2 linked regions of the Stegostoma tigrinum genome follow. The protein of the gene in region 2 purifies or fractionates together with the protein of the main gene of each other region. This does not show direct contact. Links are inferred from orthologs where the notes say so. Each region holds a gene or a part of one and is shown on either strand. Other genes may lie near its edges.

The links.
Region 1: the proteins of cAMP-dependent protein kinase type II-beta regulatory subunit (region 2) and akap9 purify together in Homo sapiens (affinity purification with mass spectrometry; 3 studies listed by BioGRID and IntAct, counting the BioPlex papers as one, with this or other methods). This does not show direct contact. The link is inferred for Stegostoma tigrinum from reciprocal best matches to the Homo sapiens genes PRKAR2B and AKAP9.

The regions. Positions count from the first base shown.
Region 1 is NC_081355.1:108,967,045-108,973,630, forward strand, and holds the start of akap9 (A-kinase anchor protein 9), read right to left. Parts: upstream 3,963-6,586; 5' UTR 3,883-3,962; coding exon 3,835-3,882; intron 817-3,834; coding exon 574-816; intron 1-573. UniProt on the Homo sapiens protein: Scaffolding protein that assembles several protein kinases and phosphatases on the centrosome and Golgi apparatus. Required to maintain the integrity of the Golgi apparatus. Required for microtubule nucleation at the cis-side of the Golgi apparatus.
Region 2 is NC_081378.1:35,347,541-35,354,126, forward strand, and holds the start of cAMP-dependent protein kinase type II-beta regulatory subunit, read right to left. Parts: upstream 3,603-6,586; 5' UTR 3,425-3,602; intron 1-3,424. UniProt on the Homo sapiens protein: Regulatory subunit of the cAMP-dependent protein kinases involved in cAMP signaling in cells. Type II regulatory chains mediate membrane association by binding to anchoring proteins, including the MAP2 kinase.

The DNA of each region.
Region 1 (6,586 bases), on a different chromosome or scaffold from region 2:
CTTTGCAAGGATGTTTTGGGTTAGGTCACTTTTTCTGAATACCAAGAAATCGGTGCTAATGGCAAGTTGTATTTCCCGCAACCAATGTAACAAAATTCTAACACAGATAGTAGGAACTGCAGATGCTGCAGAATCTGAGATAACAAGGTGTAGAGATGAATGAACACAGCAGGCCAAGCAGCATCAGAGGAGCAGGGAAGCTGACGCTTCGGGCCTAGACCGGTCTTCAGAAAAATTTTTCTTTCTGACGAAGGGACTAGGCCTGAAACGTCAGCCTCCCTGCTCCTCTGATGCTGCTTGGCCTGCTGTGTTCATCCAGCTCTACACCTTGTTATAACAAAATTCTACTCTTCCAATCAGAAACATATGAATTTGGTACTTAATGAAACACCCTCTACCCACAGCACATAATGTATGAACTTAGCAGAACTGGGAAAATATTAGGCTTTTGTTCTCTTACTGTAAAACTATAAAAAAACACCACACAAATCCTACATGGTATATAAGCACACGATAAATGAATTTGTCACATCTTATTAAATTGAAGAAAAACAAAGCACAAATAATTCTCACCTCAAACATATAGGTCTGGTCCTGTTTGATTACATCTCCACTGTGTAAAATCCTATTAATTATGAACTCTCCATCTCCTAGTGGACCACTCTCTGCCCTAGTTTTAGCATCCTGTTGCTGATGTTTAGGTGTGACGTACTCCACCTGCTCCTCCGGTTTGTTTACTACTTTTTTCTTTCTCTTTTGTTTTTTTCCCGGATTATGAAGGTTGACCTGGGCTTTCCGTTGTCGAAATTGGGCAAGCTGAAAATAGAAAATTTGATCATGACTTTTCAGATTATCAGAATCTTTAGAGATACAAGATCTTACATTTTTCTTCACATAAACAGAAACTAAAACATTATAGTAAATAATGACAATTAATCCTATACATATTCCCTCATGCCTAGAATACAAATTGTTTAATATAGTCTCGTTTGGAAAAGATGTTGCAAACAATTCTGTATTACAGATTATGTTATATTTCATTTCCAATAGTAATGATTTTGTTGCTTGCATCATCTTTCTGCACAATGCTTCGAGCATACAACGCTAAGGGGTAATTTGACCAAGGAATTTTAAGATATTGAAAGGAAATAATATGGTTAATGGAGAGAAACATGTCCCTTCCAGTAGGTGACATTAAGCAAAGAATAATCCAGTCAGTTCAGGTGCTGTTTTATCCCCATACCCCTGCAATTTCCTTCAAATATCAAATTAATTTCCGTCTGACATCATGGGTCTTGGAAACAGTTTGGAATTCCAATTAATTGAGTAGATGCTAGCTCAATTAAATATGTTAAATCAGAGATAGATACATGCTGGACATTAATAGAAAAGGAGTCTGAGTCAAAGCACGTGCAGTGAAGGTACAGATTAGCCATGAATAGTAGAACCGGAATTCAAGGCATAATGGTCCTATTCCTGTTCCTACATTCCCATAATCTAAACCAGTACGAACCAAGTGATTCAGTCAACTAAGTTGGGACTATAGCAAGAATTCATTCCCTGAACAAACTTTACACATCTTTTTCAAAGCCTTTCCAATGTGAGAAGAAAAACAAAACTGAAGCAACAATAATAGTATTATGACAGATTCAGAATGACTTCCAATCCAGGATAATGCTGAGAGGAACATCTGGGAATATATTTTCTATGTAATATAAATATATATTTCAAAACTTGGTGCAAGTAGTAAACATAAGATAAAGATATAAAAGCAAAATACTAAAGATTTTGGAAATCAGAAATGAAAACAGAAAAACTTGGAGTAGGTCTGGCAGCATCTGCAGAGGCAGAAAAAGACTTAACATGTCAAGTCTGTTCTGACTCTTCTAGAGTACGTATTCTTTGAGTAAAAAGCTTAATTAATGTGCAAAACCATTACATAACAACATTTGGGAACTGCTGATTCTGATCATTTTTCACAAATCAGTTCAAAAGTATTATGTCAGACTTGAAATGTTAACTCTGAATCAGCTTCTCTTTCACCAGTCAGACATGATTCCAAAGATACTGACCATGTAGATTAAGATTTGGTGATTAGGATTTTTTCTAGACATTGTCCAATTTTGTACAGTTTACCTTATCCATTTTGCAGGTGGTGTGTTGAACTTTAATACTTCATCAAGAGGATGCAACAAGCTAAAATCGATATGGAAACATGGAAATGCACACTTCAAAAAGTTTGTGTTCACTTTGGTAAACAAAACTCAAAGTTGCCCTCCATGTCATGAAATATACTCATTTTCGTAACTATCATAACTTTCTTAAATATCCCATTGGCTGAGGGAAAGAATTCTACTTTGCTAATATGCTAAGACTTTAAAGATTTGCTTCAGTCTTTGACTAAGCAACAGCTTAATGAGTAAAACATTACTTCACAACACAACATTTGGCAACTGCCGATTCTAATCAGCCTCAGGATATCATTGCAGAAGTTTCTCACATTAGCATCCGAGGTCTAACAAAGCCGTATCAATTACTTTCACTCAATCATGAACAGTGAAATTTGTGGGACCGCTTTCATCACACAGACTGCTCTAGTTTAATAAGGCCCACAACAACCTTGTCAACAGCAGCTACAACTTGATAATGACAGGCATATCACAGAAACAAATAAAGAAACTGTTTTCATACTTTATCCACATGCTATATCAATATGGATTAATTTAATTCATTTTATATTCTGTTTTCCCCAACTTCTACTGCAGCTATGTCAAACTTCAAGGTTGTCTTTCCCACCTGTTCATTCGTCACTCAGCAAGATTACAACTATCACTGGAAACAAATACACAAGTGCATTGAATTATGTGAGAATGCAATAAGATGCTATATATATGCACGAGGCTATTCTTGTAGACAAAGACGCTACTGAAATTATCACATTTAATCATTCTGTAACCATATGAAAATCTAAGTTTCTCTGTGATGCAAAACATTTACAGTACATCAATAAAAATGGGAGATTATGCCTATTGAATTTTAGCACACACAGAAATAAAGCTGTCACTACTCACACAGTTCATAAACAATCTTGTAATTTCTTGGGCAAAACAGATGATAATAATCAGACAATCTGGTGGCAGTTCAAATACTCCAGCATACCTTTATTAAAGTACCAATCCTGTTGATGGGATTACTAAACACTACTAAATTATAAATCTGGAAAAAATGTAACAATTACATACTTTAGAAGTTGTTGTTAAACTTCTGCAATTTTGTTACATTAAAGTGACTTTCACTCCAGCCTTCTTAAGATGTATTATCTTAAATGTACTTCAAGACGTTAGAAAGTATGTAATGTATTGGGCTGTCATTGCGAATAGCTGCTACATCCAATCCAACACGGTTAACAGAAACAAACCGTTTTCGCTGAAAGCAAAATCTTTAAACAACTTTCATTAACACACTTAATTTCTGTTCAATTTATAATGTACAATCTTTCCTTTGACACGTCCTTGCAAATAGCTTTGTATCGATTCTGATTAACTCGTTTAATTCAATTCACAACAAAGCCCTGGATCCTGCTCTAGGCCCTTCTGGCACCTCAAGTAAACAATAAAAAGCACGATTACCAAAGGCCTACAATCCCCTACAGTTGGCTAAAGCCTGCGGATCCAATTAGAAAGCACAGAGATATTAAAGCTCATCCCTCTGCACCTGGAGACGGGGCCATGGACTAGTGCCTTCCAGACAGAAAACAGCCGACCAGCGCCGGCCTCCGTCCCTCCCTTATCCCGACTCCAGTATTCACCGCCGCAGCAAGTGAGGGACTCTTACCTTGGCTTTGCCGGCCTCCAATTTCTTCTGTCTCTCCTCGTCTTCCATGGCTGTGTGAGAGGGAGGGAGTGGAGCTCAGTCAGTGACACGTTAGCAGCGCCGGCCGACACCACGGCCCGCGGCAACGACACCACTGCGCATGACAGACTCACAGGACAGCAATCCCTCGCACGGGAGGAGGCGGCTGACGCCAGGTCAGAAAGGATGGGGAGAGGAGGAGAAGATGGTGAAAGGGAGGGAAGGAGGAGTTGGAGATGGATGGGGAGGAAATAGATACAGCTGTGAATGTTCTAGAAAAAGATGGGGGAGAAAGTAAGTAGGACTCAAAAAATAAATGTTCCACATGTAACTAAAAAGCCAGCCATACATTAAGTTCAACCAGGTAGAGCAGGATGGTGCTAGATCTGAAGTGTTGGGGCCACCATTCAATGAAATGATGTTATCAGTATGTCCATATGAAGAATAATGGTGTAGAGACATTGTACATCTATTGTGAAAAGGAAACAGTTAGGGTTAGAAAGCAGGAAATTGTCAAAAGTGGCAAAGGACACCGGCAGTGTTACAGATGCGGTGGATGAGCCTTGACAAAGTGAAACAATAAAATTAGAGATAGAAAGAATTCAGTTGGACGGGGCAAGTAATACCAGGATGATTATATTAAATTTCTTTACACTTATTACATCAACTCAAACAACAATACTAAGCACAAAGCTAGTTCACTGATTGTACATTAAAGAATAGTACAAGACTCCTCAACAGTATGTGGCCTCTAGAGTTGTAGAAATCCCAGATGTGATCTGTACCAATTTCAACTGGACACCCACATTAAACTTTATCAAAGCTGAATTATAACAAATTTTGATGGCTTTTTGATTAAAGCCTTACAAATCTTTCCAAAACTCCATTATTACATAAAATTATGAATGTCTAATTCTCATGGAATAGCATAAGTGTTTAGACTAGTCAGACTGGAAATCTACCGTTTAGAAACATCAGTTGTCTGGAAGTTCTTTGAGCAGAGCCATTCATGTGTCAGTTTAGTACAATATATTGAGAGCAGAAAAAATGAAGATGTGTTGGGGTTAGTAAATTCTTTTCATTACTTTGAACATACAACAATGTGAACAAGGAACAAGAGTAGGTTCACTTGGCCCTTTGAATTTGCTCTGCCATTTCAAGATGATCATGGCTGACCTGATTTTAACCTCAACTTGTCATTGGGGTCGATTAGCTCAGTTGGCTGGATGGTTGGATTGTAATGCAGTGTGACATCAATGGTGTGGATTCACTTTCTGCACCAGCTCAGGTAACCACAAAGGACTCTCCTCCTTAACAAGGACTCTCCTCCTTAACCTCTCCCCTTACCTGAGGCATAGTGACCTTCAGGTTAAACCACAATCAATCTTGTCACTTTAGAGAGGAACCCAATGATCTGGCAAGACAATGGTAATTTGATTACTAAAAGGATGAAGGATTATCAGAAATGTAAAGACAGAATCTATTTATCTCTGCCTTAAAAATAAAGATTCTGCATGCATCGCCTTTTGAGGAAGGGAATTCCAAAATATTCAAATCTCCCAGAGACAAAATATGTTTCTTCATCTCTATGTTAAATGTGTGACCCCTTATTTTTAAACTCTGATTCCTAGTCCTAGATTCTCCCACAAGAGGAAATATTCTTTTGACATTCATCTGGTCAAGTCTCGTCAGGATCTTAAATATTTCAATCAAGTATTTCAATTGACTTTTCTAAACTCCAGCGATTATAAGCATGCACTGTTAGCCCTTCCTAATAAGGCAATCTTCTCATTCTGGGTTTACTACTTTAAAGTGTTTTATGTTTAAGGTAGCTAATGTACATCCACAGTGGTTTCTGTTTCATGTACATGATTAGGCCAGAATGTCATTCGATAATGCAGAAAAGTCAGAAATCCAGAAATGATTTGGTTCTAAGCATTCTGGACTGCAGGGTCACAATTGACTTACACATAAAAGAATCTCAATAATTATTAAATTCATTAAAACAGGCGGACAAGACTTTTATTTCGTCAACAGTCTCATGACAGTAGTGGACTGTAAGGAACCACAGCCAGAAAGAGGAGAGTTTTCAATTTTTAGAATTGTGTTTCCATAAACTAACCTTAAAATTTGTATTGAAGTTGTTAGCTTTCTGCGACAGAAATGTTTGTAATGTTCAGGACATCATGGATGAATATAAAATGAACTGAACTTTAAATGTATCCCATTGGAATAATCTGAATGGAAAAAGTATCAAAAGATGACCAGACACTTTCCTTCAAAAGGGAAATAAGCAAAAAGACAGGAATGCACTTTCACTTCAAACTGATCCAGATAACAGTTGTTACACTCTTAAGAAACCAGCCATGACATCCAGAACAAAGATGTTGCTAGATCAGAATTTTTTTATTTCCTCTGCCAAGGAGGGTCATAATATTCTGCAGTTCTCAGTCATGTTCCCTACTTGCCCACCCTTGACCTGGTTGCAATTTTATGGGAGGCAGATGAGGCCTGATGTGGCATGCCTTCCCTCACCTCGAATGACACCCATAAGTGGCCAACTTACAAGCAAGTAATGGCAAGTTGCTGCTCAATTTCCAGCTAAGAGTGAGGAAATCAAGGAGACAGGAGCACAGCACATTAGCCTGCTCAAACTAAATGCATTGTTTGATAAGTGGCATGTTACAGAGCATTTATAATTGCTTGCTTTTATTGTTCAGAGAAATATTTGTAT
Region 2 (6,586 bases):
TGCTGCTTTCAACCTACAGCTGCTCCCGTGAGCGCTGCTGACCATATGTTTTTTTTCCTGGTTCAGCTGCTGACTGACTGACTGTGTGAGCTAAATGGCAACATCCTCAAAGTGGAAAATCCACTTGTCTTCAAAAAAAGCTGCAAACAGATTCTATCTGTCCACCATTATTCACTTTGTTGTATTGGGATCTTGGTACCAACCATGGGTGGCTTATTGTTCAGACAGTTCTTTGGCACCAATGTTCCTACTTTTAACTTAAAACAATTAACCAAACTAAAATTTGGGGAATTTACAGCTCCTGAAGTCCACTGTGTCAAGGGTCAAACTTACAAAGGTAACTTACAAAATTTGAATTAAATTTTAGTTTGAGGGTGATGATGTTGTAACCCCACCCCAGCAATGCCCACCAGTCATAGAAGTCCTGAAGCACAGCAGAGGACACTGTGTGGTGCCTCTCATCTTAGCATTAATGTAACTGTGAAGGAGAAGCAGGCAACCCATCTACAACCCGCTGCCCTGACCAGTTAATAGCTGGGATAATAAAATGTGAGGCTGGATGAACACAGCAGGCCCAGTAGCACCTCAGGAGCACAAAAGCTGACGTTTCGGGCCTAGACCCTTCATCAGATGCTCTCTGATGAAGGGTCTAGGCCTGAAACATCAGCTTTTGTGCTCCTGAGATGCTGCTGGGCCTGCTGTGTTCATCCAGCCTCACATTTTATTACCTTGGATTCTCCAGCATCTGCAGTTCCCATTATCACAGTTAATAGCTGGCTTGGCTAACTCAGGAGCATTTTCAGGGGGAGATCCTACAATTTATCTGCCTCTCCCAAACCAGGGTTGCAAAGAACAGGAACGTAGGGCCATTGTGAAAACAAAAACTCGGAAGCAGTTCCTTAGAAAACAGGAAGGTGTCTAGAATCTATTGCAATCTAAATATATATGGCCCACAGATTCCTCAAGGTCTCAAACATCACAAGTAGCCTGCAAATGCATAAACCCACTTAATCTATGAATAGGTGGGACTGCAGTCCTCTTTTCAAGATATTTTCCCATTCAACTAGTTCAAGGATGTTGTCATACATCACTGGAACTTAAATTTAGGCCTTTTGGCTCACAGATATGTGTACTATCACTGCATCACAAGAGCCGTATCCTTGTTGCTATGCTCAGTCTAAGGGCCGAACTAATTAACAGAGGTGCAGATAGAGCAGAAGAGATACTTAACATGAAGAGACACTTGTGTTGCTCAACAAGGTGTTGTTTATTGCACAATAACAAAAGGTACAATTATCATGAACTAATTTGGGATAATTAAAGTGATCATGAGTCAGGTGCCTGCCTCCATTAGGAGCTTATGCAAAATTGTCCTGAGCAGTCTTGAGTCCTACCACAGTGGAGGGAGTGAGCTTGAATTGAATAAAAATCTGGAATTAAAAGTCTAATAATGAACATGAAACCATTGCTGGACAAAACCCAACTTGTTCACGAATGTTCCTTTACGGAAGGAAACTGCTGTACTTACCTGGTATGGTCCACATATGACTCCAGGCCATCAACAATGTGGTAGACTTCCAGTTGCTCTCTCTGAGCAATTAAGGATGGGTAATAAGTAATAACCTAGCCAGAAACACCCTCATCCCGTGAATAAATATAAATAACATGTCGGATTGTGTTGATTAAAAATATCTAGACATATTTATTTATTATTTTAACCAAACACTTAAACACATCCAATTTCCTGCCAATATCCAACTGTATGTAGAATTAATTCATTCCTGTCCTGACCTATTTCATCTTCTGGTCCTTAAAGCCTCAAATTGAAGATTTGTGTTGTGCATCTGTGGACTGAGAAAAACGGAGTCAGAATTTCAGTTCTTTGACCTTGTAGCAGAATGGAGTCACTGACTCGATAAGTTACCTTTATTTTTTTCTCTCCATAGATGACTGTGAAGTGGCTTGGGACATTTTCAATTTAAAAGCATTATTCATTGAAGCAATTATTATGATTTTAACTAGTTTCAAGTAGAGTGGACTGAATTAGTGATCCCACTACCTAAATTAAAAGAAGCAAAATTCTATATTCTCACTTTTGATCTTACCAAATATGTAGACCTAAATGTGGCCCTTTGATTCTGCCCACTGAAGACTCCCACTGAAACCAAAAACTTGGAAGCAGCTCTTTAAAAAAAACAGAAAGGGTTCTATAATCGACTACAATCTAAATATATACGGCCCACGGATTCCTCCAAGTCACAAAACTTACTTGGACTGCAAATCCACAAATCTACTTAATCTTAATTAACAAATACAATGAAAAATATATGCTTTCCTAATGTTGGTATAAATGATTCCATGGGACTGCAGTCCTCTTTTCGAGACATTTTCCCAATCATCTTGTTCAAGGATGTTGTTACACATTGCTGGAACTTAAATTTGGGACTCCTGGTTCAGAGATATGTGTACTATCACTGCACCACAAGAGCCCTATCCTTGTTGCTGTGCTTTGTCTAAGGGCCAGACAAGTTAACAGACATGTGAGACAGAGCAGAAGAGATCCTAAACATGAAGAGACACTTGTGTTGCATAACAAAGGGTAGTTTAGCTGCACAATGGCTCAAGTCTTCTTTGCAGAGGTATTTGTCCCGATGTTAAATTTGTGATGACGTTATAAAAGTTCTGAGACTCATGCTGACTGCTTGAGTTTCCTTGACTTGTAGGCCTCACACTCATGCCCCAAAAACAAAAATCAGGATGCATTCTTTTTCTGTTCATTGGATATTTTATCCAAAATTCAGATTCCTAGACACAGGACATGAGTGTAAAAGTTATAGGCTTTGTCAAAGTATATTGTGTCTTGCCTATTTACCATTACTTCCTTATATGCCCTTCAGTTAAGCTTACCTAGCATTCAATGAACAAAATCAATCAGAAATGTATGCTTTCCTAATGTTGGTATAATTGAACAATTCTGAAACATAGCACTATCGAAATCCTGTATTAAACAGCCTAGAAACAACTTGTGAATATTTTGTTCGGATCTTCACAATTTATGTCCATTTAAATTTTGCATATAACATTGAGTTAAATGGAATAAGTGTTTAAAAATAGCTTTGAGCCCTTACTCCAAGTAAGATTTCTGTTCCAATAACATATATAAACCCAACCAGAGTGCCCCACATACTTTCTTCCACAGTCCCCCTTCCCCAGGGGGAACTCATTAAGGATCTGCTTGAAATACAGAAGGACATTTGCTACAGTCTCTCATTTGTTCAATGTTTTCAGGGTATCATATCCCTAACCCCCTTAGAGACCCCCTTTCTGAGGCCTCGCACATACCATTGTTTGGTTCACTACAAAGAAAGATAGCAATTAAGACAGTTTCATACACTTTGTCAGTATTAACACAGAACCTACTCACCCCATTCAGGAAACATTCCAATGGCATGAGACTTATTTTAGCACTAAGATGTGATGTCCTGAAAAGTTACTTGGCATTTACCAAGGAATAGAATAAATATAAAACCCAGTAAACTTGACACATAGAATTCTTCAGAAATCATGTACGACATCTGTCATGTAATTACTGTGATTGCAGTATAACTTGCACTGCCATTGTTGACATTTCAGGATGATTAGCACGGCATTCTGGTGCTCATTAGAATAATAACAAAATACAACAGATGATATACCAAATTCAGGCACTAGAATTTTCCATGCAGTTGGTTGGCACACACACAGCTCAATTGTCCTTCCCACACACTGGAATAAATCATACTTTCCAATCAGCAGCTGCATGACTTCAGCTCGTTGAAACTTTAAAGTATCCAATCAGGATCCAACAGCGAGAACTATAATTTAGCATTTGACAAACAGGAAATGACCCTTTCGATTCCCATATTGCATCATGTTGATGGGAATCCAGATGTGTTAATTGGAAAATTGCAATCTTATGGCTCAAAAAAGTACCAGTCATCTTGCTTTCTCTAATCCATCTCCCTCTGCACTGTTAGTGCTTAGTTCTCTCAGTTACAATCCTTAAACTAATCCCAAATCTTCTGATGTAAAATGTCTTTGTTATATGATACAAGGATATTTTCTTAGGATGTAACTAAATATTTGCATCCTCTTTCAAAAACCCTTCAGGTATAGACCTATTGTTCAACTTAAACCCATTATTTCACCGATTGTTACAAATTTATATCTTCTTCAGATCTTTGCCTCCCACTCTTACACCACACACACGCATACAATTGCATTTCCACTGCGACTCTATGTTATTACTGCCTTCAAGATACCAATAAAAGGATTATCCCTTGCCTCTGATCTTCAACAATGACACAGTTTCTCTTCGAGATCCATCATCTACCATTTTTAACCATCAGTCTCTGTCCCTAAAAGATCCTGCTTGGATATTTGTGCATGACGACATCATCAGGAAAGTCTTTTCATCTCCCTCTATCTTCCAGAGGGACCACTCCCTTTTGACAAACCCACTCTTCAACAACCCAAACTTATAACGATAGGATTGTAATGAGGTAAACCAGGTGGACCTCACAAAATATGAATTTCCTGATTTGGGCTGTTAACCTGGTTCAATCAGGGACCAGTGGCTGGAAGATAAAAGCAGGAGTATCAGACATCCTGCTCACTCTGAGAGCAGGCTCTAAGGGAGCTAGAATACGTGTGAATAAAGAGTGGCTTGGTGACAGATACCAACCTCTGTGGAGTTATTTCAGTGGTGATGAGAGTGGGATTAAATCTGTGACCATGCAAAAGCGCCTATTAGCTGAAGCCCAGCTTGACATCAAATAGGCACTGCAATGGGCTTTGTCATTGAAAATGCGGCAAATGGAGCATGTGAGTTGCAGGATATTCCAATGGAAGTGGACACCCTCACTGGTCCACCTGAGCTTGGGGAACACCATCTGGGTGAAGGCAATTACTTAGGGCATATCCTGAATAGTGGGACTCTAGGTCAGCAGGCAGCAAAACCCTAAAACAAAGCCAAGCCTTGGCTAGAGGATTAAAATTTTCTTCAGGATTCAGACCAGCAAGTCATTGTAGTTGCTGCTGGTATGCAGACTTGAGACAGCAAAAGACTCCATTAGACCTAAATCAAGTCAGATAACTCATAGGCCAGTATTCAGGAGAGTGCATACCCTGAAAAGTCCATTGACATCTGATTTGGAACAGTTAAACTGCTTAGCAAAATCCAAATCAGAAGCAATCAAAATAAGCATCTGGTTAAATGGTCACCTGGTTTTAATGGAAGTCGATACCAGCAAGGTCATTTCATTGATCACAGAACCAGTCCTTAATAAAATTCACTCCGGACTCTAAACCTTAAGTTTGTGCAATACCTTGACTATACTGAGAGCCTATACCAGGGAATCTTTACAGATTAAAATACAACTTCAGTTCCGGTCTCTTATGAAAAGCAGCTGGTTCAGTTAACACTGATCATAGTAAAAGGCTCAGGCCCAAGCTTCTTGGGTGAAACTGATTGAGAAAGACTCACCTAGATTTATTCAATATTTTTTGAGTAGAAAATGGTGAAGTCCTTCCTTAGTGAAGTCCTAATTAAATGCCTGGAAGTTTTTCAGGAAGGTCTAGGGACTGTCAAAGGAGTCAAGGCCAACTTGCATGTTGACCAGGAAGCAATTCCATGATTCTGCAAGGCATGCACAGTGTCATTCACCTTACAATTAGTACCCATAAGGACTCGTACCAATATAAAATGCTGCCACCTGGGGATTTGTCAGCCTCTGTAATTTTTCCGTAGATGATGTAAAATATTTTACAATGTCTTCCTCAGGTCACCATTTATCTCAGTGATGTGCTAATGACGGGGAAGACCAGTAAGGAGCATTTAGCGAGCTTGGACATAATCCTTAGACATTTCTAATATGCAGGCACATGATTTACAAGGGAAAAAAATTGTGTTCCAGGGGCCCCAAGAGACTTGAGTGCTACAAGTTGACAAGACAGATTACACCTGTTGGAAGATAAAGTGAGGGCAATCACAGGTGCCCTGGCTCCTATGTCTTTACCAGAGCTTAGGTATTTCCCTGGACTAGCAAATAATTATGGAAGATTCATACATAGCCTGGCCTCCATCCTGGCGCCTTTGCATCAACTCTTGAAAAAGGGTCAGCCTTGGAAATGGTTGTGTAGCCAAGCCATATCTTTCAGGCAAGTGAAGAAACAGCTCTCATCCTTCAGGTGTTGGCCCACTATGATGCCAAGCAAGATCTGGTTTTGACATGTGATTCCTCCCTGTACGGTATTGGGGTGCTATTAGTTCATAGGTGGCCCAATGGAGAGGAATGCCCAATAGCATATGCATCCAGGACTTTTGCTAATGCAGAAACGGGGAGATGGTGGCCTTGTGGCATTATCACCTGACAATAAATCCAGCAACCCAGGTAATGTTCTGGGGTTCCGGGTTTGAATCCCACTGTGCCAGATGGTGGAATATGGATTCAAACAATATCTGGAATTAGAAATGTAATGATGATCATGAACCCATTGTCAATTGTCAGTGAAACTCATCTGGTTGTCCTTTAGGGAAGGAAATCTG